Alligator mississippiensis: one gene and its partners. The protein of the gene in region 1 binds, or shares a complex with, the protein of each later gene. Links are inferred from orthologs where the notes say so. Each region holds a gene or a part of one and is shown in the gene's direction. Other genes may lie near its edges.

Evidence for each region.
Region 2: the proteins of GNA13 (region 1) and ADGRD1 are in contact, whole or in part, in a cryo-EM structure (PDB 9V0U), measured with the Homo sapiens proteins. The link is inferred for Alligator mississippiensis from reciprocal best matches to the Homo sapiens genes GNA13 and ADGRD1. Residues at the interface, in NP_006563.2 of Homo sapiens: Val49, Val216, Phe218, Phe359, Val362, Lys363, Asp364, Ile366, Leu367, His368, Asn370, Leu371, Gln373, Leu374, Met375; in NP_942122.2 of Homo sapiens: Asn599, Arg601, Leu657, Met660, Val661, Ile662, Val664, Phe665, Ser667, Val737, Ile738, Ile741, Ala761, Val764, Asn810.
Region 3: the proteins of GNA13 (region 1) and GPR4 are in contact, whole or in part, in a cryo-EM structure (PDB 9JHP), measured with the Homo sapiens proteins. The link is inferred for Alligator mississippiensis from reciprocal best matches to the Homo sapiens genes GNA13 and GPR4. Residues at the interface, in NP_006563.2 of Homo sapiens: Arg47, Pro341, Tyr343, Phe359, Lys363, Asp364, Ile366, Leu367, His368, Asn370, Leu371, Lys372, Gln373, Leu374, Met375, Leu376, Gln377; in NP_005273.1 of Homo sapiens: Gln45, Asn50, Arg115, Ala118, Val119, Ala120, Pro122, Leu123, Ala126, Ile204, Val208, Ser211, Val212, Ser213, Thr214, Glu218, Lys221, Ile222, Leu225, Asn290, Glu291, Gly292, Ala293.

The regions. Positions count from the first base shown.
Region 1 is NC_081831.1:4,634,317-4,641,886, reverse strand, and holds the start of GNA13 (guanine nucleotide-binding protein subunit alpha-13), read left to right. Parts: upstream 1-4,496; 5' UTR 4,497-4,526; coding exon 4,527-4,809; intron 4,810-6,692; coding exon 6,693-6,919; intron 6,920-7,570. UniProt on the Homo sapiens protein: Guanine nucleotide-binding proteins (G proteins) are involved as modulators or transducers in various transmembrane signaling systems.
Region 2 is NC_081833.1:9,606,070-9,613,305, forward strand, and holds the start of ADGRD1 (adhesion G-protein coupled receptor D1), read left to right. Parts: upstream 1-4,222; 5' UTR 4,223-4,831; coding exon 4,832-4,897; intron 4,898-4,993; coding exon 4,994-5,030; intron 5,031-7,236. UniProt on the Homo sapiens protein: Adhesion G-protein coupled receptor (aGPCR) for androgen hormone 5alpha-dihydrotestosterone (5alpha-DHT), also named 17beta-hydroxy-5alpha-androstan-3-one, the most potent hormone among androgens. Also activated by methenolone drug.
Region 3 is NC_081838.1:377,193-384,364, reverse strand, and holds GPR4 (G-protein coupled receptor 4), read left to right. Parts: upstream 1-4,343; 5' UTR 4,344-5,170; coding exon 5,171-6,226; 3' UTR 6,227-6,670; downstream 6,671-7,172. Other genes in the region: EML2 (echinoderm microtubule-associated protein-like 2), read left to right, coding at 1-75, 160-247, 320-415, 493-623, 822-947. UniProt on the Homo sapiens protein: Proton-sensing G-protein coupled receptor activated by extracellular pH, which is required to monitor pH changes and generate adaptive reactions. Activated by an optimal pH of 6.8-7.2.

The DNA.
Region 1 (7,570 bases):
TGCTGAGCTCTCTTGCTTTCCTTACTGAGCCTGCCTTTCCACCCACCTCTCTTCTCTTTTCCATTTCCTCCCCTGAGCCTCAGCTCAGAGGCAGGTGGAGGACGGCCGTGCGAGAGAGACAAGGCTTGGGAGGGTTTCCCAAATAGGAGCAAGGATGAGAGTTGGGATGGGGGGCGGCCATGGGCTGGGAATGTGGACCGACAGGAGTGACAACTGGGTCAGAGGCTGTGTAGATGGAGCGGCAGTGACAGCTGGCTGGGGAGCGGAGTGGCAGGATGCAATGGGTGCGACAGCAGTTAGGAGTGGGGAAGGAGCAAGGACAGCGGGAGAGTGATGGTTAGAGCTGCTGGGAGGAGTGACAGTTGGGGAGAAAAGACCCCCAAAAGTGGAGTGTGGGCAGGGGAAGCAGTCCCAGGCCTGGCAGAGAGGAAAGGTGCATGGGCGGCAGGATGAGCTGTAGGAGAAAAGCAGGGCAGGATAGGAGCAGGAGGGGACAAAGGGCAAAGAGGAAGGCAAACAATGAAACTGCGAAGCAGGGAAAAGTGCGCAGACAGCAAAACCAAGATCCCGTTGGGCAAGAGCGCCGGCTGCCAGGGTGCTCCTGCCTGACTGAACCGGGCGTGGGGTTGAACAGCCTGTGTTATAATAAAATAGCTATTTCTGTTTCTCCCCTGAATCCATCCTTGTCTGCAGAGAGCAGCTGGCTCTGGTGATGGGAGCGGGAGGATGCTGCTGTGTTACATGGCCGGGAGGCATCACGGGAGCACAGTTATGCCTCCTGCAATGGGGAACTCTGGCTCAGCCATCCTGGTTTTAAATGGTCCCAAGCGCATGTCGGTATGTGGCATGGTGGGTGGTGCAGCCCCCTTCTCTGGCTGGGAGCTTAGTTACCTTCTTCTGCTGGGGTCACAAGGATTTTCTTCACCTGGGTCTGCCCCTTCCTCGTCTCTGCAGCACTTTCTTACCAGCAGGCTCAGGGTACGCACTCATGCAATGGAGGAAGCCAAAATTCAGAGCAGTTTTAGCCTTGACTTGCGTGTTGCTTGCTGCTCCTGTCAGTAAACTGGGGCAGGAACATGTCCTCGCTTTGGCAGAGTGCTGAGATGTACAGATGGAGAAAGAGCCAAAGAGAAAGGGCAAAGGCTCAGAGTCACTGAGCATCCACAACTCCACATGAAACCCCTGGGAGTTGGAAACACCTTGACAGTAATTAAAATCATGCTCTGAGCTGTGTCCAGCCAGAAAAGGAAGTCAGTGCCAGGTCTTGGACCAGAACTCAAGAGCTTCTGACCCCCCATTGCTGCACACAGGCTAGCAGGTGATTATAGGGATTTTATAAAGGTGGGTACTGCTGTCTACCGATAGATGATTTTATAAGCACCATCTAAAATAAATCTAACACGCTGACTGTCACAGAGCCTTGTGGGAGAGAGCACGCTCACCATGCTAGGATAGAAACTTGGTTACTTTTTATTATTGACTTCAGGGGAAGAGTTTTTCCATTCATTAAAGCAGAGTTTCCCAACACTAAGCCAGTGTCATGTTTTCCACAGCCATTTTTCTTCTTCAGCTTTTTAAAACTCTATGATACTATCAAGAGATCAGAAGGCAAAAAAAAAAGTATGCAAAGAGGAAAGTACTGGGTGCCAAAGTTAGGGTTTGGGGGAAGAGAAAGGGAACATTTGATATAATCAGTGGGTGTGTGTACATACATGTGTGTGCATATGTATACACAGATTTTCTGTAGGATGGCTTAAACAGTGCCAGGTTTGAATGATGTGAAGTGCGTATGAGTATTCGCTGCATGTTTTTGAGTCATGTGACCCAAGTACGTGCTTGCTAAAAATGTTTTTCCAACTATTTAAGTTGGTCTAATAAAAGAGATCAGATTCACCCAAAGAACCTTGTCTGCTTGTTTTTAAGAGTCATGAGTGTTTGATGTGGGTTGGTGTTTAAGGAATATCACTGATAATACCCGATTGACTGAGATTGTGTATGTGCGTGAATGCACATGCCTGTGTGCAAGCATGCGAAATACGGCTTTTCTGTATGTGCTTGACCAACGCAACCCATCTCTTTTGAGCCATCAGTGGAATAATACAAAAAAGGAGACAGTTTTTTTGGTCTCTACACTTATAGGCCAGATCTTCAACTAGAGCAAATCTGAATACCTGCACAAACGGAAATGGAGTTGTAGCCACTTATATCATCTCAAGATCTGGCTGCAATTAGCCTAAATTTCCATGGTGATAGGCAGATGATGAGTAAGAATAACCGGGATTAGAGCTGTTTCCAGTCAAACGTGCAATTTCAACCTTGCATGGGTCTAAGCTTTCAGTCTTCAGCGAAGTGTGGTTCTGTACTGTGAGCTAGTAGTGAAATCCTGGAGGTCAGTGCCCATTACCTCCTCTCCCCACCTCTGTTTAACCATCCCAGTGCCTGGAGACCTGAGCACAAGGCAATTCTATAGCCTGGCTGCGTTCATCCCAACAAATCCTGGAAGCGCTTGCTGCTCTTCTTAGGGAAGAGAAGGCTAGAGGCATGTCAGGGCTTTTCTTCTGCTACAACTTGACTGTTGTTTTTTTCCTATTGTGCTTGGACACGCAAAGAAGCTGATGGGGAAGTTCAATTTTTGTTTCCTTGTAAGAAAACCTCTAATAGCTTTGTCCTCACAATATAGTTTTCCCATGTATCCCATTGTAAGTCTAGTACTCCCAGTATTACACATAGACACACATGCGGAAACTAATTTTGCACTAAGCTCAGGCCATTTTTAGAGCATTTCTCCCAGCTGGGATGAAGGGGCAGCGTGTTTTGCCAGCCAGATCTCCAGTGCAGTCCTAGCTAGGCCGGCGCGGTTCTCCAGAAAGCCTCCTGGAGCTAGGACGGCAACAAGACCACGCGGGGTCCAGTGCATTTGCAAATCCACCTCCTTCAAGCTGCGGCCGAGGAACTGGGCAGGAAGAGGTTTGCTTTCACCGACGTGCTGCTGCTGTGCCGTCCCTCATGGGACCCAATGCGCCTGGTTTGCAGCCCCGGCAGCACCGCCAGCCTTGCAGAAACCTCTGGCACCTTGCAGCAATGGCTCCTTCACCCCCTTCCCCCATCCACAGCTGATGGGCACCTGGGAGGGCTGGAGCAGGGGGCTGCAGACTGTGCTTTACCCCCGCTGGGGTATCGGTTGCAGCCATGGTGGTCACAGCACATAGACAGGCAAGGTTCTTGGGGTAAATCTGGTATTAAAGTTGGTCTAATAAAAGATATCAAATTCACCCAAAGAACCTCATTTACCCCAGTCGCGGCTTTCACCCATCTGGACCCTGCTGCTTTGCAGCACTTTCTCCCCACGGGCTGGATGGACCTGGGTTCAATCCCCAGCCCTGTGTAAACACCTCATCCCTCCTGCTTGCAGTGGGACGTCGCGGTGCCAGGGTAGGACCAGCGCTGCCAGGTCTTAAATATGAAAAAAATGTAATATTGGATGGTTGAAAGGATTGTATCTGCTGCAAAAAGATGCCAATAAGTGATTTATTTGATATTGCTCACTGTAGGCGTGCAGGGGGTGAGACCTGGGTCATCCGGGTGGAAGCACGGTTTTTATTTCAGCCATCGGGAAGTGCCGACGGTCGACCCCAGCCTTGGTCCAGATGCTCGGAGCGCCATTTGTTTTGCACGGGCTGCCGCGAAAGCCAGGACACGTTTTGCAGGGGCGCACGTTACACAGAACAATGTTTTCCAGGTTTGATCAAAGATCCGCCGAGGACCCATGGGGGGGATGGGGCCAAAAAAGGATGCCCAACTCTAGAACTGAGCAATCACTTTTATCTAGACCATTATATTTATATAATATTTATATTTATATTAATATATTTATATAAAGATATAACATATTTAAATATATAATATGTATACTTTTTATATTAATATACAATATTATTTAATATTACTTTATTTATATTAATACATTTATATAAACATATATTTATATTATACAAATATATTTATATAATATAATATATAAATATATAATCTATATTTATATTATACAAATATATTTATATAATATGATATATAAATATATAATATATATTTATATTATACAAATATATTTATATAATATGATATATATAAATATATAATCTATTTATATTAATAAATTTAATATTTATTATTACGAGATCCACTTAAGAAGGGATCCTGTCTGCAGCAAGAGCACTGCGCTTTGGAGCGCGTGGTACTACGGTACATGGCACTAGGGTGCGGCTACTCGGAGCAATGCGGTAAAGAGCCGCCTTTCCCTAACGATGCGGCGCCCGTTTGCCCCGCGCGGCGTCACGTGGTGCGGAAGGAGCCAGGATGCTGTCACGTGACGGGTGCCGGGGCGCGGCAGGGAGGGCGGTCAGGTGCTGGCGCGGCTCACGTGACGCGGGGGCGGCGCGGTCACGTGGTCCAGCCGGTCGCGCGGCGCATGCGCAGGTGGCGGGCGGCGGCGGCCGCTCCCTCCCTCGCTGGCAGTGCTGGCCAAGATGGCGGACTTCCTGCCGACGCGCTCCGCGCTGTCGGGCTGCTTCCCCGGCTGCCTGCTGAGCAGCGGCGAGGCCGAGCAGCAGCGCAAGTCCAAGGAGATCGACAAGTGCCTCAGCAAGGAGAAGACGTACGTGAAGCGTCTCGTCAAGATCCTGCTGCTGGGCGCCGGCGAGAGCGGCAAATCCACCTTCCTCAAGCAGATGCGCATCATCCACGGGCAGGACTGGGACCGCGCCGCCCGCGAGGAGTTCCGCGCCACCATCTACAGCAACGTCATCAAAGGTGCGGACCGGCCCCCCCCCCTCCACCCCGCGCGCGCGTGTGTGTGTATTTGCACACGCACACCTACCATAGCCCCTCTCAGAGCCTGTACCTATACAGCAGGAGGCGTGTGGGGAGCCCCACACGTATATGTACACGCGTGCCCCTTTTTACCTGAATCTGGGAGGTGAGGGTGTAAGGCAGGCGTGCGTGTGTGCGTCCGTGTAGACGTACGCCCTCCCCGCACGCCTCCCTGAGCAACCAGGGCAGGGGTGTGCACTCCTGCCTTACACCCGCGCCTCCTCGAGTAAGGTGTGCGTAGCCTTCGTTGTGGAGGTGCGGGAGGGTCTTCCTGCCTGCCTCCTGCTCGGCCCCACACCCTCGTGGCCGGCCGTCAATTGCTGATTTGGAAATCCCCGAGGCACCTGAGATGGGCGGTGTCCGTCCATCCATCCATCCATCCATCCATCCAGCAGTGCCCTGTGGGGGGGGACATCTCGCTGGGGTCGAGTCACGGAGGAGTGGGAGTGGGACTCGGGCTCCTAAATCACTCCTAAATGGCCCTTGGGAGCGCTCATGTGGGCTGCCTCCCGAGGAGGGTTAGGGCTGTCTGCCCGCCTCTCTGTGGGGGAGGCGGCCGGGAAGAGTTCGGCTATGAGGTAGTTAATGAAACGATGAGATATTTAGACATCACCATCAAATTTTGCCTTGCCATTTGACAGGCAGAAAAGTTTTACCCCAGGGCTGACGACCGGTTTCCGAAAACCAAAGTGCGTCGTACGCTCTTTGATACCGAAAGTAGCACGTGTGTTAGGGGTGCAGGTTGCAGCCGTGTAGGGTGTAGCCATGTGTGTTGAACGCTTCTTTGATGAAGAGACTTTGTTCCCATATACCTAGCCCCGGCCTTGATTCTTCATGCTGGTTTTCCTCCCCCTATTTGGGCTTTAAGAGACTGTAATGGTAGTATTAGCTCACCGTTCTCAGGTAGGCAGTACAGGTACAGGGGGGGAAAAAAAGCACAGATTTTCTCTTAAAGCCCAAGGTTGAGCGTTAAAGAGGTGTTGCTTTTTTCTTGGTATTTGGAGGAAAGACTTAGGAAGTTCTGTGCTTGTAGCAGAACTCTTTCCACAAGTAACTGTTGTGTGGATTTCGGCAAATTGAGGTACCTTTTAGAAAGCATTTAACACCTTATGAGTTGTATGCGATACAGTTTACCTTTGTTTCTGAAAACGAACATTGCCGTTGTCTTTTGGCAAAACTACCAAGTTTATTACAATGGGTGAAGAGAAGGAAATGCCTTTAAGTAAGGTGGTAAACAGTTCACTGGATTCCTAAATAGTGCTTAGCATAGTTAATTTATATGCTTGAAATCTTGTATTCTTGCTAGGTGAACTAAACTGCCATAAACTCGTTCTTGAGTTCAAACAAAAGCATAGACTATTTGCTAGTATCGATTGTTTATTCTGTAGATGAGTTTCGTTTACTAACTTCAGTATACATCGTTAAAGGTAAACGGATAACGCTTGTGAAGTGCACTTCACAAAACCACTGTTTTAATTCTCGATGAGGACATTATTTTTCTTCTTTTCTTGCCCTTGTCACAAACTAGATGTTTTTCCAGAAACTGGCATTAACAATCTCAGAAGTATATAACTAATTTTCTCACTACAAATAACTGTAATTTCCATGTTACCTTGAAACGGAGCTCTAAAGCTAGAATTTCAGCTCTGTGAAGGCATCATATATGCTAACTTCCTGTTGTGCAAGTAGTCCCATTAGCTTTACTGGGACTACACAATAAGTCAAAAGTACATGTGTGTTTAAGTCTGTCTAAGGTCTAGTGTGATAAGTAGACATGGCAGATTTGGGAGAACACTAATTATGGCTCTTCCTTTTTATTAAAGGTGTGAGAGTCCTGGTAGATGCCAGAGAGAAACTTCACATTCCCTGGGGAGTTCCTGCCAACCAGAGTAATGGGGATATGATGATGGCTTTTGATACTCGGTCAGCCATGGTGGCACAAGGGATGGTGGAGACTCGGGTTTTTTTACAGTACCTTCCAGCAATACGAGCACTGTGGGCAGACAGTGGTATCCAGAACGCCTATGACAGACGCAGAGAATTCCAGCTGGTAAGACAGTTTTCTCAGTATTGTTGTTCAAGATTGTAAAACAGTGTTTCATTTTCCAGTGAAATAGACTCTGTCTCTTTCTGAGGACACTTAGACATATCTTAACGTTTTTAGCTCGTGGAATTGCAGCCTGACGTAAGTTTTCATTTTAATGCTGTTAACAAGAAGAGTAAATCAAAATTAGCTCACCCATAAAGGAAATATTATTTCTGTTTTACCAGCAAGGGCACTGAGGTGCAGACAGGTTGTATGCCCATTTTAATGAGTTTTCTGTAGCAGACCTGTGATTTGATTCTAGATGGCTCTTTCTAGTGTATTAACTAGAAATGTGATCTCATTCTTTGCTGCTGGTTCACTGAAACTTATAAAAATACTTTTGTCATTTTGCAGAAGAGAAAAGGAGGAATGCATACTAATTGGGTTTTTTTTTTCCTCTGAGACAGTTTTCTTTAGTTTACCAGGTCTTAAAACCATTCTTTTCTATTCCCATTTGTGCAGTCTTGTAGTCATTCCCTGCATATACTTCCTGTTTCAATTTCATGCGAGTGCATTCATTTTCATGCAAGCAGGTATCTTTTTCTGGTGAAGCTTTCAGTGGTAGATGTGAACTGTGGTTCAGTAGTTTGATTCTAGTGGGTAGGTGCTTTGTGT
Region 2 (7,236 bases), on another chromosome or scaffold:
GACTTTATACTTGTCTGCCTACCGGGGCAAGAATAATTCATTCACAAAGGCTTTAGCTTTCCTTTTGGAAGTGACCACAGCAAAATATCCTACTGATATCAAGAAGGTGGCATGCTGCTGTCAGTGAGTGGACCCAGTCATAGGCCAGGGCATATTCAATTCACGATTCTACGGATTTTGTGGAAACTGAAAGCCAGCATTGTCCGTGAAATCAACTTAAAAAAAAAACTTAATAAAAATAAAATGTTGGCTCCCCAGTGGGGGCCAGCAGTCCTTGCTGCTGTTGCAGCGCAGCCTCACAGCCTGCCCAGGGCAGGGGAGACGGCGCTGGCTGGCAGAGCAGCATGAAGAGCAGCAGACAAGGTGGCAGCTGCCAAGGCCTCTCTGCCAACCAGTGCCGAGGGGCAGGGGTGCTGGAGAACATCCAGGGAATATCCGCAGAATTTGAAAAAATTGTTTAGTTTCTCTGTGATTTAAGTAGACCCCTTAGCTATAGGTATAAAGGTGTTCTATATTTCTATATGAGAAGAAAAATAAGCTGTGCCAATATATTTTGTGTCAGTAAAGCTTCATGCACTTTTGGGGTTGTACCAAGGAAAAATCTTGCTCCTAACCAAATAGTTTTACTAGAGAAAATGCTGTGCATCGTGAAGGCCTTAAACGATGTGCGAGTCTTGTACTGACTGTATAGGAGTCAATTTAATCTAGTTACACCAGTGTAAATCCCCAGTATTTCCAGTGATCTAAAAAAAATTACTTTGGACTGAGAGTTGTACAAATGAAAGCTGCATTTGCCCCACGTGTTTGTTTTCTGTTCTGTTGCATAACTGAAATTAAAACACTCCGTGTTACTTCTAAGCTTCTAGGAAAAGTCAGAAGATATTACATTAAAAAGCTACAAGTTGCTGGCTGTGGTGGTGATACTATTTTCTAAGCCCTTTTCCTTTGGTTTCAGCTGTAACTAAGCAGTTAATAGAATCCATGATTTGCTCAGAAATCGTTTTGCTAGACCACAGGGACTCCATTCAAATATTAGAAAGCCACTTGATAGGTATACTTTCCAGTGGAGGCTGCCACTAAAGGGACCCACTCTGGATATAAGCCCTCAGCCCATTTGGCAAGTAGTTCACTGGACTATATGTACAGGTGCATGCACAGATTAATGAAACACCATACAGGGAGGACACAGAACTCACTGTTTTTGCATTTTCAAATCCTTTTTCATTTAAGAAAGTGATTTTAAAAAGCCAATATTCTGGCTCAATGCTCTAGCTCAGGCACAAAATCTACTCAGCAGCTTTATGTCAGGAGAACTGATTGTAATGAAAAAAGAGCGATCTTTTGCTTGAACATTTAAAAAAAGTCTCTATCCAGGGCAAGTAAAATTTTGCAGCACAGGGTAAAACTCTCTGATCTCTGATATAGTCGGAGTAATCAGACTTTATGCTCTGCATGGGGAATTGAAATTAGCCCACTCTGAATATACTAGTAAGCAAGAGGAATACAGGGAAGAGCAGTGGACGGCCTCTGGATCTGAACCAAGGTGCCTAGTGGCAGGGGCAGATACTGCTACTTGATAAGAGTAGTAGGCAAGGAGGATTATGAAGGAGCTGTACTGTGGGCTTGAAATGATCAGAGTCAGTATGGCATACATTGGCTAATGGGTGTGCTGCTTCGACCACCTTCTTTCTCACAAAGAGGAGTTAGAAAGTACGCCTGGACTTCCACCACTAGGTGAATTTCATGCATTATTCTCAATTAACCTAACAGAGTGAATAACCAATTCAATTAATTTTGCCTTTTCTACTAAAATAATTTCCACAAACTGTTTAAAAATCTAGCTGTTGCTCAAAATCACTATCCAAGTATTTTCTGTGAATTGTGCTTTGTCTGTAGGTTGTTCATTCTGATTAACTGCCTTTTGCAATTCAGGTGGGATTGGTTAGCTTAGATTGGACACAGGGAACCTGGCATTGCTTCTGTTCTCTGGTTGGATTAGTAAACACTTCAAATCAGGTTTCCTGAAGTATCACATGAATAAGTTCAAAACTTACTTTCTGCAAATAATCTTCAATATCTGCTTATAATTTGCTGTTTCCACAAAAATTCCTGGCAGTGAACATGGTGCTTGGATTCTACCATTTTTTTTTTACAAGCATCTACTTTCCTTTAACAGGCCCCACTTGGCAAATATTTCAAATTCCTTTCTTCCTCTTTTGACAATTTAGCTTTACTCATTATTTTTAGCTGAAGCTATTGTTTCTACCCATGGCAATACTGATCATTCAATGGCACGGGAGATCTGGGGCATACACAAAGTTCTTCATTTTCCTCCTAGGCATAGAGGCCAATTGTAATGGATGAGAAACAGGTCTGGAAAGAGTACGGCAAAAATCAGAAGAGGAGAAAGCAAGCCTATGTCTATGGAAGAGCTGGCTAGGGAATTAATTTTGTGAAAAACATCAGGTTCCCAGAATGTTTTCCCTCAACACTTGAGATGAAGAGCCAGACACCCATTTTTTCCCCCAAGGGACTGAAGTTAAATGATATTTAATTTTAGAAACACGAATACGATGCTTCAGCAAGTGTTTTTAATGAAATGTGCTCGCTGAAGTCCTAGAAAACCTGAGACCCACAGCAGGTTGCAAGTTTACATGCTCAGGTCTACTTTGGGAGGTTAGTGGTTGGGTTAGGAGAAAGCAAGGCAGGCTAGCCAAGTAGCTGGACAGTCAACTTAGAGGCCATTGAAAGTTTTAATAGAATTGACATATTCCCATGCACTGTTTGTTATTAAATCAGTATTTTCTGATGTGGAAAACCCCCCCAAAAAACATTTCACTGTGACCAGTTCTAGCCTAGGGCTTAGAAGAGAAAAGAGCAGGGGTGAAGGCACACACCAGTCAGGCGTAGATCGGGCTCTGGAGGGCGTGTGGGTCAGGGAAGTTATCAAATATTAGCACTATCTGGGGCTTGGACCGAGAAGGCACAGCTCGAGTATCCAAGGGACAAAAGTGGTGAAGCATAGGGGGCCAGTAACATGCCTAGAAACATCATCACTCAAAGGCCTGTCATTGTTTAATCTATCAATAGATATCAATTTGAGAGCTGGTTTAGAGCAGTGGGGGGCAACCTTTTTGATAGGCATGCCACAAATTAGCCCTGAACTCTCCCTGCGTGCCACTGACTTCCTTCCCTTGCCTGCTCTGTTTTCTGCTCCCTGCCCTCTCTGCCAGGGTGTAGCCCGTCTCCTCCTCAGCCAGCTGCTTGCCACACACACAGAAACTGCCCATGCCATGTATGGCACCTATGCTGCGGGGTGGCTACCTCTGGTTTAAAGTACTTTACTATTTGGGAGAGTTTCTGAGGCTGAGGGAGGAAAGGGGGGGAGGGGAAGATGGCAGAAAAAAAAGTTTGGATTTTTTTTTTTTGGTTTTTAATTGAACAAAATCACAAAAATTAAAAAAAACCCCCGATGAATCTGAAATAAAAGTATTTTTTTATCTAAAAAGAAAAGAAAAGAGTGAATGAAAATTGGTGCTCAGTTCTAATCTTTATATATATAATCTCAGTTCTAATCATCTTTATATTAAATAAATAATTGCTATGAATGCAGTACAGTTCAGGGTACAATTGTAAAGTGGCCCTGATAAAAGATTACTCAAGAATCGAGCAGTACAGTCTAATTTATTCTATCTAAACGTAAGACAGGCTGAAGGTCTAGTGGCTAATATTTGTGATTCGAGGTTAGAAGATCCCAGTTTTGTTTGTGGCTTTTCTATTGCTTTTTGTTTGATCTTGAACAAGCCAAATGATTGATGCCTCAGTTTCCCCTTCTATGCATAGGCATAGTAAATATCCTCTATTGCACCAGAGTGTTATGAGGCTTAATTAATGTTTCGAAAGGGTTTAAGATGTATGGAGAGAAAGCTCTGAAGAAATACAAAGTATTATTTTAATAAATGGCTCTTGATTCTTTCATAAAACTTCTGCTTTAAATGTATTTTATGTTTTTTTAGGCATTGGAGATACGAGTATTTGTACTGGCTTCATTCCTTCTCTGAATGTGCAAACTTGCAATAAATAATTTTTATTGTGGTCTCTTTAATCTGCTTTCTGAACCGCATTAACTTGTTTCCGCTTGTTCCTAGCAGGCTGGTGTTAGGACCCAGAAAAGAGACAGCAGCAACACGATATAAATAGAGTACCAGAATGGGACAAAGTTTGAGAAGAAAGCATGACATCACTCAGACTTACTCTCCACCCAAAAAGATCTGGGATGGAGGTACAAACGTGAGCCAGACAAGCGAGGAGCTAGCAACACAGTTCAATCCAATTCCTAAGGACACAGTGAGAGTCAGATGTCCAGTGGAGCAGAAGGGGCTACTTTTTTATGATGAGAACCAAAACTGGCTTCAGATCTCTGACAAAGTAAAAATAATTGGATAAAAGAAAAAAAAAAGAAAAAGAAAACCACAGACAGCAAACATTGTAAAATAAGATCTCTTCTTTTGGCACAAATAACAGCAGAACTACTTGCATTCTTTCTGTGCAATTGCACAATTTTTGGATCTTATTATTTTTATCTTATGATTTTGCTCCAGTCATGGTTATGTGTTTTTTGGTAATTCAAGTGATCCACATTTAAAGCAAGCAAATATTCATGAAGGCTCTGGAAGAATATATTGCTTTCTCACTGGAAGAATGGAGTTTCTGAACCTGTGTGGAAAATGCAGATTTTAAAAGAAAAAAAAGTAGCAAAGGAGAACTTGTGTTCATGATTGAAATCTCCCAGGAATTAGATCTCAATTGCACTTGAAAACGCAAAAGGACCATGAAGAATTTGTTGTCTCTGCTCTGTTATTATTTGCTGCAGATTTTATTTCAGTCTAAATATCAGGTAATATTCAGAACTTGGGTAACAGTGAGATTTTTCCTGTTTATTCTTAAAAACTTTTGCTTCACATTGTCTTATTCTGTCATATTTTATGTACAGGTGTATGGAAACTATTCCAGGCTACCTAAACACCCAGGTAAGGACATTGTTATTTATCATTGATACTACCACGTGCTTAATTGTTACAGTATATTTATTTAGCAAACCTTTTGTTTTCTGGTTTATATTTCATTTTTTTAGTTGTTACAAGGGATCATACAAGACCATACTAAAAATCTAGTGCCGGACAATTGCAGTTACTTAAAAGTTCAGGTCTCCCTATAGTGACATCTTGTATTAAAAGAAATACAAAAATAAATTCTGTGCACATTTCACAGAATAGGCTACCACCTTTGTGCATGAGAATTTTTTTACGGTTTTTTTCACTTGAGTTGGTCTTTGAATTGTATTTACACAGAGATTACTTTCTCTTTCACCACAACGTGCTAGTGTTCAGCACTTCAAATTCATTGACTTGCGGCTAGAAGTGCCAGTTCACATATGTTACATTGCATTTGTGTGGCTCCAGTCATTTAAAAGCCTTTGATGATTAAATGTAGATTGCTCGGGACGGAACCGCAGCATGTTTTTCTTCTGAGCTCTTGTCATCTGTTTTCAATGCGAAAATCACTCAAACTTATTTGCTGTGTGTGTAACTGGAAAGATCTTCTGTTTGCACAAATAGTTTAGCCTCAAGCCTCATGGTGGTGTACAAGTACAATTTTACAGTTTAAGCAATCCACAGAATGCCCTGTGCTTTTAATTTCTGCCCAGAAGTACTAGCTTTCAAAGAAAACTGCTGCATGCTGCAGGAGAAGCCCTGTTCCGTCCTGTTGCAATACATGAATCCCCACCCTGTTATCTGAGTCCTAATTAACAGCGTATGTGAGTAAGCTAGTGCCCTTGCTCATATCAGTTTCTTCTGTTTCCCCTTCATCTGGTAAACATTAACATATTGTGTCAATTCCTATAGAAAAGGATGAATGACCTGTTGCTTAAGAAGCAATAGAAGAAACATAGGCTGTATATAAATATTATGTATTGCAGGGGGAGGAGAGTTATAAAAGAGTCCCCAGTTTGGATGGGGACCTAGAAATATTAAGCTCTAAATCAGTGGTCCCCAACATTTTAAGAGTCAAAGCACCGCTTGATAGATTTGAGGCACCCCTCAATATAATGAAGGTACCCCTTGAAAAAATGCCAGCTCTTAGTTTTCGTTGCTTTTTGACTACAAAAAAAGAATAGAACAATTCTTCTGTTGCAAAGAACTCAGAAAGACCACAGCAAGTCGGGATGTTGTTAACACTGTGGGTAAAAAACACTATTTGAAAACTCTGAATTTATCTTGTGAATCATGTTTGCACAACTAACAGTACTAATATTGTGCAGCACCCCGTGCAACACCCCTTGAAAGGATCTCAAGGCACCCTGGCTGAGAATCACTGCTCTAAATGATTCTATCTTGATTTGCACTATGATGTAATCTTCCCATCATACATGGTCCAGCATGTACAGCAAACAGATTCATAGTAATTTTGTACTTATAAATTGAAAGGAAAGTTAAGTGAACAGAAATGAAAGGAAATCCAAGTGAACAGGCATACCAGTGGTTTTCAACCTGCTGGCATTTTTTGGAGGCTCCTTCAGGCTGGATTGGCTCTGAGCATGGTTTAGAGAAGGAGTGTTAAAGTTGTCCTGGGCTGGATCCAAAATGCAGGGCTCCTTGCAGGTTAGATCTAGACGTACTGGTGGGGTGAGCACATCAGGGATCCCTGGGGGTTTATGTAGCTATTACCCGCCAACTCCCTCATCTGCCTGCCCCTTTGCCCCCTGCTCCTGACACACATCCCCAAAAGAGCCTTGTATCTCAGATTCTGGTGGTGGGCCACGCTCCTGCTCTCATCCCTCAATTTCTGGCCCTTCCAGGGGCCCTGTGGCCCAGACAATATGACTCTGTGGGCTGGATCTGCCCCATGGGCTGTATTTTTGACACCCCTGGTTTAGAAAATAAAGTACTGGACGGAAATCCAAGGAACCTGTGTCCTAGTCCTCACTTTGTCGCTGTCCTGCTCTGTGCGACACTGGGGAAGTCACTTCTCTGTGTTGCTGTTTGCTTTCCCACTTTTTGTCTATCTTTTCTGTTAATTGTAGGCCGTTTAGGGTAGAGATTCTCCCTATATGTTGGGATGATGCCAAGCACAATGGGGCCCTGATCTCAATTAGGCCTTCTGGATGCTAGTGTAATACAACTATAACAATCAAGTGTCTCATTATGTCCTGGCACAGCTGTTGGCATCTATTCA
Region 3 (7,172 bases), on another chromosome or scaffold:
TCCCACGACAACTTCGTGTACGTCTACGCCGTGGCCGAGGGCGGGCGCCGCTACAGCCGCGTGGGCAGGTGCTCGGTAGGTGGCTCCGGGGGGGCTCTGGGACCCCTTCCCGCGGGGGCGGGGCCAGGACATGCTCCCCTCACCCGCTGCCCCCCCCAGGGCCACTCCAGCTTCATCACGCACCTGGACTGGGCGACCGACGGCGGCTGCTTCGTCACCAACTCGGGCGACTACGAGATCCTGTACTGTGAGTGCCGGGCGCGGGGGGATGGGGGGTGGACCCCCGGGCCCGCTCTGAACCCCGCCCCCCTCCCCGCAGGGGACCCCGCGACCTGCCGCCAGATCACGAGTGCCGACGCGGTGCGGAACCGGGACTGGGCCACGGTCACCTGCGTGCTGGGCTTCGGCGTGCTCGGTAAGGGGGCGGGGCCTGGGCCGGGCCGGGGGCGGGGGCGGGGGCGGGGCCGGCCCGCTCTGACCCCCTGCCCGCAGGGATCTGGCCCGAGGGCGCGGACGGCACCGACATCAACGCCGTGAGCCGCTCCCGGGACGGCGCCCTGCTCGCCTCGGCCGACGACTTCGGCACCGTGCGCCTCTTCCGCTATCCCTGCTGCCAGCCCCGGGTGAGCCCCGCCCCCTGCTGCCAGCCCCGCCCCTCGCCCCGCCCCCTGCTGCCAGCCCCGCGTGAGCCCCGCCCCTGTGCCGGGGCGCTCCGCCCACCGCCCCTGTCCCTTTGCGCACCCCCCGCAGAGCACTCCTCCCCCCCACTCCCCCGCCCCGCGCTGACCCCCCAGACCCCCGTGACCCTCGTGTCCCCGCAGGCCTCGAGCCACGCGGCGGAGGGGCACAGCAGCCACGTCACCAACGTTGCCTTCCTGCCCGGGGACCGGGGGCTGCTCTCGGCCGGCGGCTCCGACACCAGCGTCCTGCAGTGGCGCCTCGTCTAGGCGGGGGGGCCCGCGCGGCCCTGCACCGCGGGGCTAGTACAGCTGTATTCAATGCGCTTGAGGTTGCACAGGGGTGCGGGGGGGGCTGCAGCACTTTGTGGGGGGGGGAGACGACCCCAGGCAGGGCCCCCCGCCCACCCCGCAGCCGGGGTGGGCGTGCTTCCCTTGCTTTTTGCAAGTAATGGGGAATGGGGGGGAAACTGAGGCACGGGGGTGCAATCCTGCTGCCCCCCTTGCCTGGGGTGTCCCCAGGGGTGGAGCTGGGGGGGTCCCCTTGATCCCAGTCCCCTGGGGGGTTGCTGGCTCCAGCTGATTGTATTTGCACTGGGGGGGGGCTGTGCGGCGGGATGCGGGCCCTGCCTTTCCAAAGAGGGTGCGGGGTCCCTCCCCACCCAATAAAGCACGTGCGTGAGAGCCGAGGCCTGTGCGTGTGTGTCCGGGCGGGGGGCTGGATCCCCCGGGGAGCGGGGGGAGGACGACAGGGGTGTCACACCACAGCCGCGCAGCGCGTGCCCCCCGGGGACCATTAACCCCCACGGGACCAGGAGGCAGTTGAGGAGTCCGGGCCGCCCCGGCCCCGGCCGGAGCCCCACGCCGGACCTCGGTCGTGGCCGCAGCCCTGGGGCAGGGGATTGGCGGAGCCGCCTGGCGCCCCGGCTGGGATTGGCTGGCGGGGCAGGGGGCGGAGCCGGCGGCGTCCAATCCCGGAGCGGCAGCGCTGCCCAGTGCAGCGCCGAGCACCGCAGCTGCTGGGCCAGGCCGGCGGGGGCCTAACCCGGGAGCCGGGCCGGGGACGTCCTCAGGGCACAGCCCCCGCAGCACAGCGCCGCGCCGCGCCAGCAACGGGGGAGGGTGCCTGGGGGTCTCCCCCTCGCCAGGCTGGGGGGATGCCAGTTCCCGCGGCCACAAGCACGTCCCGTTTAAGCTCTTTTGCATAGCCACGCCCCTTTCCCTGTGGGGCGGGGCCAGGCTGAGTGGAGGGGGGTAGGGGTCCGGGCCCTCCAGCAAGGAGAGGGTTAACTCTGGGGAGTCGCGTGCGGGGCCGGCGCCGCAGGGGTTAACACCCCCCCGGTTAACCCTTCCCGCGCCGACCCATGTCCCCTGGGGGGGGGGCGCTGCCGGGGACCCACTGAGCCCGCCCAGCCCCAGGCTGGGGGGCAATTACCGGGGGGGCTGGGGCGGGAGTGAGGCGGGGTATAACTTCCCCGGGGCAAATGGGGGGGCGAGGCTGGAGAACCCCCGATCTGGGGGGCTGTGGGTGGGGAGTGAGGGGCACCGGCAGGGCTGGGGGGGCAGAAAGGTCGCAGCCCCTCTCACAGGTTCCCACCCCTGCCAGCCACCTGGCATCGCCCAGCCCAGGGGCAGCACCTGGGGGGAGACAGGACCCGGGTAGTGGGGGTGCGGGAGCCCCCCCCCCCCCGGGCTGGAGCCCCTGAAGGTGCGGGGGCTGCTGGGCTCCATCCCTGCCTCGGCCCCTCCCCGCACGCCCGACCCGAGCCAGAGCCCCCAGACGAGCCCAGACGTGGTTATTACCTGCGCCGGGCCAGACGCATCCCAGCGCGCCCGGAGCGGGGCAGGAGCTGCAGGTCGGGAGTGGGGGGCAGCGGCCGCACTGGGGGGCAGGGGGCTGCGGGTCAGGAGTGAGGGGAACCAGTAGGGCTGTGGGGGGCAGGAGTGCGGGTTGGGGGTGAGGGGCACGGGTGGGCAGGGGATCCGGGTCGGGAGTGAGGGGCACTTGGGGGGGGGGGACGGGGGCTGTGGGTCAGGAGTGAGGGGCACTGGTGGGGCTGGGGGAAGGCGGGGTCAGGAGTGAGGGGCACGGGCAGGCCGGGGGGGGCGCAGGGGCTGTGGGTCAGGAGTGGGCACCAGCAGGGCTGGAGGGGCAGGGGCTGTGGGTTGGGAGTGAGGGGCACTGGTCAGGCTGGGGGGCAGGGGCTGTGGGTCAGGAGTGGGGGGCACCAGCAGGGCTGGGGGTGTACAGAGGTGGCAGGTCGGGAGTGAGGGGCCCTGATGCGGGGGAAGGGGGTGGGGGGGTGAGCAGTGTCTCGGCTCCGTCTGCCCTGGCAGCAGGTGGGCAGCGGCACCAGCCTGGGCTAATCTCATTGCAGCTGGATCCCGCCGGATGGACGGAAGGGGGAGCTGCGAAGGAGGGGGCGGGTGGGGGGGTGGCTGGGACTCATCTACCACCTGCTCTGCCCCCCTGGCTGGGGGGGGGCTGCGGGTGAGGAGTGAGGGGCACCAGCCAGGCTCCAGGGCCGGGCACAACCATGCTTGGTTCTCTGCCCCCCACCCGCTGCTGCAGCCCAGACCCCTGGGTCCTCCCCCAGCTCTGGGGACTCCTTGGTTGACCACGTGGCTGGAGCCGGATGCCCAGGTCCCCTCTGCTGGGGGCGGCCATCACCCCCTTCCCCATGGGTGTGTCCATGGGTCCAGCCCCACCCGTAGGGGGCAGGGGCTGGGCAGGCACTGGGACCCCCGGGAGTAACCCCCATCCCGTCCTGGCTCCAGAGCGGGTGGGAGCCCCCACCCGGACGCCTGGGTTCCTCCCTGGCTCCGGCCCGGGGCGATGAATGTCTGGAGCAGCCCGGACGGACGCACGCCAGGGTCCTCGTTCCTGCGCCGTCTCAGAACCGCCGTGAAGTCACGTCCCTTCCGAGCCGGCCTGGCGTGTCCAGCACAGGACATCCGGCTCTGGCCGCTAGGCCTCACGCCCCTCCCAGCTTTGGGGAGAACCCAGGTGTCTGGGCTCCCTGCCCCCCCCAAACCTGCCCCTCGTGGAGTGGTGTCCTGGGGCCCCCACCCACCCCGTTCTCACCTCTGGGCCCCACTCCCCTCCCAGGACCCCCCCTGGCTGGAGCCTGGAGGCGAGAGCAGGGTGGGGGGCCGGGTGCCCAGGCCCCCGGGTTGTCCTCAGCTCCGGGAAGGCAGGCTCAGGGACCCCGGACGCCTGGGTTCCAGGCCAGGCCTGACCCCAGGTCCTGGGGTGACCCCGTCCTCACGGCCGGCTCAGCCTCCCGAGACACCTGGGTCCCCTCCCACCCCGGGGGCCTCCACGTCCCCCCCAGCATGGAATTTTCCATGGGCCGGAAGCTCCAAATGCCACTCTCCCCCCACCCTGTGTGCACACGCATGTGAGCCTGGTGTGCACATGTGAGCCGTGTGCTTGGCTCGTGTCCTTTGGCGCCTGGCAGGGGGTGCCCAGGGATTGGGGCCTGCAAAGGTCACCTCTGCCTCCCCCATGTCGTTATGGCAACCGCCCGCCTGGGTTCCTGCTTGCCCCAGCCTGCCCCGCCCCCCCAGCCTTCAGCCTCCTCCTGCCCCCCCCCTCCCCAAGTGAGAGCCTAGGCATCTGGGATCCCAGACCTGCCCCCCCCACCCCCCCAGTTGTACCCCACGAGACTCCTTCCCCTCCTGGAGCGAGCCTCTAGAGCACCCAGGTCGTGTTGGTACCACGCCCCCCACCCTCACCACTGGGCCCCACTCCCCCCCAAGCCCCCATTGCCTGGAGAGCAGGGATGGCACCCGGTTGCGTGGGTTCTGCCCCCACTGTTAGGGGGGCCTCTTCAGGCAAGGCATTTACCCCCTACAGCGGGGGCCCTGGGGGGCTGCAGGTTGGGAGTGAGGGGCACCAGCGGGGGGAGGGGGGGTGGGGGGCAGCTGGGAGTCCTCAGGGCAGGCGTGGAAGTGCGTGGCGGAGACAGGCTCCAGGAACACACATGTGAGGCGGGGAAGGGAGTGCACACGTGTGCCCAAGGCATGTCCGGATGTGGGGCGCATGGAGGGGCAAGGCGGGAGCACGCATGTGCGTGTGTGTGCGTGTGCTGGGGGGGCTCCACAGGGCTGAGGGGCATGGGCAGCTGTTGGGGCAGGCGTGAGCATTTGCGTGTCGTTGTGGGTATGTGGACGCAGGGGTCTGAGCTGGAGGCACCCCGCCACCCCGGCTCCATGTGTGAGCACACGTGTTAACACGGCCCACATGTGCATGGCGGCTCAGCGCCACCCGGGGTCCGTGTGCTGGTGTGAGCCGCATGGTGGGATCGGTGTGTGCGAGCACAGCAGCTGCGTGTGGCAAGGAGGCCCCGGCTGGGCTACATCCAGCCTGGCATAGCAGGGTGTGCTCACCCACTCCATACCCTCCTGACCCCCTTCCCGTGTCCCCCAGGACCCCGTGCCCCATGGCCGCCCCCCAGCCCACGCTGTGACCCCCAACCCCGCCCGCCAGGATGTGCAACCGCAGCGAGCCGCGCTGCGACGTGGGCTCGCAGCTGGACCAGCTCTTCCCGCCGGCGCTGTACATCGCGGTGCTGGTGCTGGGGCTGCCGGCCAACGGCGCGGCGCTGTGGGCCGCCTGCCGCCAGGTGCGGCAGGGCAACGAGCTGGGCGTCTACCTGCTGAACCTGTCGGTGGCTGACCTGCTGTACGCGGCTGCGCTGCCGCCCTGGGCCGACTACTTCCTGCACCACGACGACTGGAGCCACGGCCCCGGCGCCTGCAAGCTCTTCGGCTTCGTCTTCTACACCAACATCTACGTGAGCGTGGCCTTCCTGTGCTGCGTCTCGCTGGACCGCTACGTGGCCGTGGCTCACCCACTGCGCTTTGCCCGCCTGCGCCGCGTGCGCACAGCCGTGGCCGTCAGTGCCGGCGTCTGGGCCCTGGAGCTGGGCGCCAACTCGGCGCCGCTCTTCCACGACGAGCTCTTCCGCGACCGCCGCAACCGCACCTTCTGCTTCGAGAGCTACCCCATGGAGGCCTGGCTGGCCTGGCTCAACCTGTACCGGTCCGTGCTGGGCTTCCTGGTGCCCTGGGCCGTGATGCTGCTGTGCTACCGCGGCATCCTGCGGGCTGTGGGCGCCAACGTGGCCACGGAGCAGCAGGAGAAGGCCAAGATCCGGCGCCTGGCGCGCAGCCTGGTGCTCATCGCGCTGGTCTGCTTCGCACCCTACCACGCCGCGCTGCTGGGCCGCAGCGCCATGTCCCTGGGCCGGCCCTGCGACTGCGGCTTCGAGGAGCGCGTCTTCGCCGCCTACCACGGCGCCCTGGCTGTCACCAGCCTCAACTGCCTGGCCGACCCCGTGCTCTACTGCCTGGCCCACGAGGGCGCACGGCATGACATGGCCCAGGCCCTGGCCAGCCTCCGCCGCGGCCTGGCTGGTGCCTGGCTCACGCTGGACACGCCGCCAGCGGGCAAGAAGGCCGGCGCCCCCGTGCCAGCCCCCACGCCAGGCGATGACCTGGAGCTCCAGCTGCACATCCTGGTGCCCCCCACCCCTGAGGTGTGAATGGGATGCAGACGAGGTGGGGCTGGGCGAGGGTGCCTGGTTCTGTGGGATGATGGGGGCGGCAGGGGGGGGCAGGCGGATGGACCCAGGGGGCGTGCATGTAAGTGAGCTGTGCAAGTGTCTGTGAGCGTGTGTGTGGGAACGTGTGCACGCAGTACAGTGTTGTGTGTGTACGTGGTAGTGTGTGTGTGCACATGTGCATGTCTCTGAGGTGTGCTCTGGGAGTGTATCCTAGATGCTGGGTAGTGTGTGTGTGCCCAGACACCTGGGTTCAGTGAGGGGGGGCCCAGCTCTCTGCCCTCCCGTGATCCAGCTGCTCCAGTGCAGGGGCAGGGGGTGGCCAGTGCCCTGTTGTGCCCGTGGGTATGTGGGGGGGCTGCCAGGTGCAGGGAACAAAGCTGGAGAACCCCAACACCCCACCATGAATAAAGCAGCTGTGACCCCCCCCAGTCTCAGACTCGTGCTGTGGGTGCCAGGGGTGTGCTGCCAGCACCGCAGGCAGTGGGTGCTGTGCCAGGCCGCTGTGACACCAGCCGGGGCTGGGGGCTGCGTGTCCCCCCCGCCATGGGTGCGGCACGTGGCTCATCCTGTCGTGGCGCCACCCTGGCCACAGCTTTTGGTGCTGGGGGGAGGCAGGACCCGCTGACCACCCTGGTCCAGGGTATGGGGCATGGTCACAGGCTCCTGGGGGGGCTGGTCAAGTCAGGGGTGCCCCTGGGGCAGAGGCAGGTTGGGGTCCAGAGACCTTTGTGCCCCGGGGCCAAAGGGCGCTAGGCTGGCGGAGTCCAGGCAGCCTGGCAGCCCCCTCCTCCTTGCACAAGCCCTGAGGGGCATGGGGCACACGCGCGGGGCACACGCCTGCCCCCGAGGGAAAGGGCAAAGGTCACCCCAGAGTCCAAGCGGGAAGGAGATCGCAGGAGTCAGGGCTCCCGGCGAGTGCTGCTGG